2 linked regions of the Xenopus tropicalis genome follow. The protein of the gene in region 1 purifies or fractionates together with the protein of each later gene. This does not show direct contact. Links are inferred from orthologs where the notes say so. Each region holds a gene or a part of one and is shown on either strand. Other genes may lie near its edges.

Region 1 (2,553 bases):
CATTTTTTATTTGTAGGTTTTTTTCAGCAACTCGCTAGTTTTGAGTTTCAGCAGCTAGGGTCAAAATTACCTTAGCAACCAGGGATTGATTTGAATGAGAGGCTGGTATATGAGTAGGTGAGGACCTGAATAGTAAAATAAGTTACTTTTTATAACAACAAAACTGGAGCCTCACAGCGCAATAGTTTTCTGGCTGCCGGGGTCAGTGACCCCCATTTGAAAGCTGCAAGGAGTTAGAAGGCAAATAATTAAAAAACGATTAAATAATCAATTAATAAATAACCAATTGAAAAGTTGCTTAGAATTATCCATTTTGTAACATACTGAAAGCTTAACGTTAATTGAGAATTGGCAGCCCTAGAGTTAACCGACCGGTGCATAGAAAGTTCAGAGAGAGCTGCTGAAAGCCTGGAAAATGTATGTAAACTGCTGAAGTGCGCATTTACATCCCCTTTATGCACACTGCATTTAACCCTTAGAGTTTGGCAGGGTTCAATAACGCAGAGAATGAAAGATTCTATACATCTGATCATTATTCCCAATGATAATTTGCCACCCACTTGCTGTGGGATCATCTCTTTCTTTGGCTTTTCATCAGCAGAATTGTGACTTCTTACCAATTTATTACTCACATTACATGCAAAATTGTGTTTTCATTTTCAGGCGCAGAGCATGATTCCTCTTAATGATCCTTATCCAGATGGTAAGTGAACTGAACATTGTTGTAGAACGGCAAAATACCATTTATGTTGTAAAATGCACATGCAGTTACTTACAATGGCATTTTACATTAAATTCATTGTGGGCAGAGCTGGATTAATACTAAATAGGGGACTAGGGGCGGTAATGCATTGGGGGCCCCCAGATCATCTTATCACAACTTTCCACAACGTGATTGGCAAAAAAATGTCTGTATGTGCATGAACTGCTTTCTGATTGGACGGGATCCAGGAGCGTTAACTTTGAACCTCCTGTCCAATTGGTAAGCAGTCCTACACAAAATGTGTAGGGCTTTTGGGCACCCCAGATATACTGGGTCAGATGTGTTTGAGCCCCTGAGTGAGGAAACAAAGCTTTAAGAAGAATAACACTATCTCTGTTAAAGGAGAACTAAAGCCTAACTAAAGCAGTAGGGCAGAAATGTTGTATATTCCCTTTAGCAGGGAAGATCTGTGCCCCCAAAGATGCCCCAGTAGCCCCCCCATATTCTTTTCTGCTGATTCCCAGCACATATTCTGTGCTGCTGTCACTTACCTGAGCTTAGGGACTCACCCACAATATACTGTATATACAGAATATAAATGTCACTATACGAGGCTGATTAGTAATTAATACTGATAATGAATTCATTGAAGACCAGAAACCCGTGCAATTAGCAATATAATTTTATAGTCAGCCCTGTACCATCAGTTTATATGACAGACCAGCCTTATTTTCTGCTAGAACTCACTGAGCATATGCACTATACTGGAGAGTTCTAACAGAATCCAAGATGGGGAGTTCCTGTGACCTATATCATTGCTACTATAGAGATGCTGAAACATTAGGCTAGTGCAGTCAGTTAATTCTATAAAATATGGCTTTTTTAGACATATTCATCAATGGGGTTTATCTCTTTTAAAGCTCTGGGCCAAGGTAGCATTAATGGATCACTGAAAGTACATATATATTTGAATCTAATGGTGTTCTTTACCTTTGCAGAAATGGAAAATTATCGAGCTATGTACCCTGAAGATATTCCATTAGAACCAATGGGAGGAGATATGGATGTGGAGTATGCAATGGATGGCTACAGTGACCACCCAGTCAGGGGGGGCTACTCTGATAACCACATGATGGCATAAATCCTCTTGCACAAGGTACTGCTTGGCACTCTGCTGCTATATTGCAGGCAAGCTCTTTTGAATGTATAGGCAGGTCATTTGTCTTCATTGCCACTAGTGATAGCAAGAGCTTGTGTGTTCAATTGATCCAGTGACATAGTGCTGCTTACCTGTGCCTCCTTCTTTAGCCCTGTGCTTTCTCATCCAGCGTAGAGCAGGGGTGGGAGTCACAGAGGATTAATCTAGAGAAAAAGACCAGAGTTCACTGCTGTGTCGCCATTTATATTTAATAGTACATTTAGGCCTTTGAAGCACTGTTATTTTAGCAGAATACTTTCTCTACTTCGTTCCCACTGCTCCACCTAGTGGCAGAACGCAGAATCTACAGTAAAGCTAAATAGTGTAACAAAAACATCAACAAGGGGATACAATAAAAATAAATTATATCTAATTAATTATGCAATGAAATCACTTTTCTGACCCTTCTCAATGCAAACTTTAATCCAAATTAGCAGGCTGATAAACCTGTAGATTAGGTATAGAAAGCCACGTAAAGGTGGCCATGCATTTAAATGAATATTGTCATGGGAAAACATGTGTTTTCAAAACCCATAAGTTAATAGAGCTTCTCCAGCAGAATCCTGCATTGTAATCTGTTTTTCAAAAGAGCAAACAGATTTTTTTATATTTAATTTTGAAATTTCACATGGGGCTAACCATATTTCCCAGG
Region 2 (3,841 bases), on another chromosome or scaffold:
AATTTGGTAGAGGTATGAATATGATCTAGCCAAGCACATTTGCAACGTGTATTAATATTTTTATTTTTTTAACTTTCAGATTTTGTTTGGAGTTGGACATAGTCTTCATTTAGAGGTGAGTAGCAGAGGATTGTTTTCTAAGTATTTGTTGTTACTGATTTGTTACAGGATCATGTAGTGATGTAGTTCTTTGTTTTGCGCTATACATATTATATAACTCCTTTCTTGCAATTATATGTTGTTTAATGCTGGATGTTGTAGTCCAGGCACATCTAGGGAATCAAGGTTAAGAAAGACATGATGCGCATCACTGCCTCCCCTGTTATTGTGTTCTGCAGCACATTTTTAGCAAAGTTATCAAAATACTAAGTCAACCGAAGATGCAGCGACACAGCACTTGTTTATGCACATTTGCAAAAATAATTTAGAAATAGTTATTTTTAAACCCACTAAACTGACACACTTTTGACAAACCTCCAATGTAAACTTAACACTGGCATCTACTTTCTGTTGTTTAATGCAAAGCTTCAAAGGTTTTACTATGCTGTTGGGAAACTATCCAATAACCCCTTGTTAGCAGGTTGAGTTACAATAGTCTGCCAGTAGGCCACTTGAACAGGCTGGGAGCCATTAAAAGCTCAAAGAGGGCCTTTATTTTGATTGCCCTGCTCTAGTGTATACGGAATTCTCTATATAGATGCTTTTACATTACGCCTTGGTTTTTTTAATTTCTAACAGGTAATAGAAAGAAGCAGAAAAGGAGATGACAAAAAAGCTGTTTCTACAAAAGTAATAAGATACAAGCGAGAATGGATTATACCACCTGTGACAATCACAGAGGAACAGGATAATTCTTGGAGGAACCCAATAGCAAAAGTAAGTGATCCTGGAAATGAGTTGTTGCATGAAATTGTAGTAAAGTCTCTCTGAATAAATTTACACACTTAATCTAATTCTCAACAGCCAATCATTTCCTAACTAGATTTTTAAGGGCTATGAACCATCTAGCTATTCTGGGCTTTGTTGACCATGCAATGGATAGCTCCTTTGGTGGGGGAAATAACATTTGAAATCACTCCCCCAATCTTCCCCTTTATTTAAAGGACAGTTGCAGGTGTACTCATGTGTCAGGCGACTTTAAATAAATGTGGAATGTGGTTTTGTTCACCCACAGAGCTTTTACTTGTCTGGCCAACAAAACACCCAGAATTACTAGGTGTGCCAGTGCCCTTCAGGTGCACTTTAAGAGATTGTACAACCTTTGACCATAACCCCCCTCCCCCCTTCCTTTGCTCTTTGTTGCACACAACAACATGCATTTTTAAAGTAATACAGTAATGGGAAATCATGTTTTTTTTTTTGGTTTTTTTTTAAATGCATCAGTTAAAGGAAAGTAACACTAAAAAATTTTAAGTAAAAAAATCTATTCAACCCTGCCCCAATAATTGCCCTATCCTGCACACCATTTATTATTTTGAATGCTTTATTAGAAAATACCTGCTAAAATTTGGCTTCCGGTCATTTGAAATAGGGCGATACGGCGATGCAGGGAAGAATCCACTAAACGACGATCGATTGATCGATTCTAGCGCGACTCCTTCCTATACAGAAGGCTAGAATCAAACAATTTTCCTTTAATAGAGCTTCTCCAGCAGAATCCTGCATTGAAATCTGAAACAGATTTTCTTATGTTTCATTCGGAAATTTCACATGTGGAAATTTCACAGGGTGCCACAGCCATGTGACCTGTGCTCTGATAAACTTCAGTCACACTTTACTGCGCTGCAAATTGGAGTGATATCACCCCCCTCCCAGTAGCCGATCAGCACAACAATGGGAAAGTAGCAAGATAGCAGCTCCAGAATAGCACTCAATAGTAAGAAATCCAAGTCCGGCTTGGGAACCTTCAGTTACATGGGGGTAGGAGAAACCGTAGGTTACCTGTAAGCAGTTCTAATGTGTAGTTCTGGCCCTTTTTGAAAGCTCAGACTCAGGCACAATGCACTTAGATTGCTGCCTACACACCAATATTACAAATGTAAAAAATACATTTGTTTGTTCAAGAATAAAATTTTAAATGGTACAGTGAATTATTTGCTATGTAAACAGTGTAATTTAAAAATATAAAAAGTATACCATAAAACCATGACAGTATCCCTTTAATCAATAAATGCAGTATGGGGATTGAATGAAATGCTGGAAAAACAAGGCAGGAGGGGGCGGGACTTAGTACCTACTTTGCTTATAGACTATGACAACAATGTTTCAGCACACATAATTTGCTTGAATTAGACCTTAAAGGGTGCATGCAGTAGGATTTGTTCGCCTTTGCATAACTTCCACTTCAACATTTACAAGGATTGCAGCACTCCCATTCTGAATCTGTGCCATATGTGAAATAAAGGGGATTTTACTTCTATGGAATGGAAGTTCTGCAATCCTTGTACAGGTACATTTTCCAGAATGCTTGGGGTAAAGGGTATTCCGGATTAGGGATCTTTCCGTAATTTCGTAATAAAAAAAAAATCAATAAATTAATTAAACCCAATAGGATTGTTTTGCGTCCAATAGGAATTAATTATATCTAAGTTGGGATCAAGTACAAGGTACTGATTTATTATTACAGAGAAAAAGGAAATCCGTTTTTAAATTCTGAATAATTTGATTAAAATGGAGTCTATGGGATTTCTGTAATTCGGAGCTTTCTGGGTAACTGGTTTCCGGATAACTGATCCCATACCTGTAAATGTTTGTTTATACACTGAAAGCAGAAAAAAAATGTTCATTTCCATGTTTTACAGAAAGTCAAGGAAACATAGGAAAAGCCTTCATACCTCTGCTACAAAATCAGGTCTTAATAGTCACCTCTGCTTGGTGACTATGGTTTTAGAGAACTGATTGATTGTAAATTCATTGGCTGGCCAAACTGAATGTAGACTAAAACATAGAAATTGTCGTTTTGTGATGAATAAATCCACAGCAGAGAGCTATGCACTTTTATGTTGAGATACTGCTGGCACTTTCATCCTGTGGTGAACACAGTTTCAGCAATGTATGCATCACACTGGGGGCAACAATGTTATTTGTACAGGTCTTGCATAACATTTTATACAGCTTGCAGTCTTAAAAAGAAGGTACAGGTATTGGACTCCTTATCCGGAAACCCATTATCCAGAAATTTCAGAATTACGGACAGGCCATCTCCCATAGGCTTCTCTGTAATAAAAAAACAGTAACTTGTACTTGGTCCCAACTAAGATGTAATGAATCCTTATTGGAAGCAAAACAATTCTTTTGGGTTTAATTACTGTTTAAATATTTTTTTTGTAGACTTAAGGTATGAGATCTGAATTATGGAAAGACCCCTTATCCGGAAACCCCAGGTACTGAGAATTCTGGATAATGGGTCCCATACCTTTAATAAATTATGATGGTTTCCATTTATTCCGTGGAGTCCTGTATGTAGGGTATGTTACTGCTGCACATATTGTGATAATTTATAGTACATTTATACAAAACTTCTGGTTATGAATCTCTTAATACATTTACTGCTAACTTTTATACTAGTTTTTTTACACTGTACTTATTTTAAATGGAAAATCTGGAGAACAAGATGTGTGATACTCCTAATTACTTCTAATTTCACTAACAGATTCAATCAGATTATCAGATCGACAGGAGAATTACATATCGCATTGAGGGTATGGGGGTGACAAAACCTCCCCTTGGCATTTTCATTATCAATGAAAGGACTGGGGAACTGAACGTAACAGGAATTGTGGACAGAGAAGAAACGCCAATGTTCTATGTAAGTTTAATTTGATCAATCATATTGTAATTA

What was found.
Region 2: the proteins of jup (region 1) and dsg2 purify together in Homo sapiens (affinity purification with western blotting; 3 studies listed by BioGRID and IntAct, with this or other methods). This does not show direct contact. The link is inferred for Xenopus tropicalis from reciprocal best matches to the Homo sapiens genes JUP and DSG2.

What each region holds. Positions count from the first base shown.
Region 1 is NC_030686.2:7,419,827-7,422,379, forward strand, and holds part of jup (junction plakoglobin), read left to right. Parts: intron 1-663; coding exon 664-703; intron 704-1,701; coding exon 1,702-1,844; 3' UTR 1,845-1,859; intron 1,860-2,553. UniProt on the Homo sapiens protein: Common junctional plaque protein. The membrane-associated plaques are architectural elements in an important strategic position to influence the arrangement and function of both the cytoskeleton and the cells within the tissue.
Region 2 is NC_030682.2:111,631,855-111,635,695, forward strand, and holds part of dsg2 (desmoglein-2), read left to right. Parts: intron 1-79; coding exon 80-115; intron 116-738; coding exon 739-876; intron 877-3,652; coding exon 3,653-3,808; intron 3,809-3,841.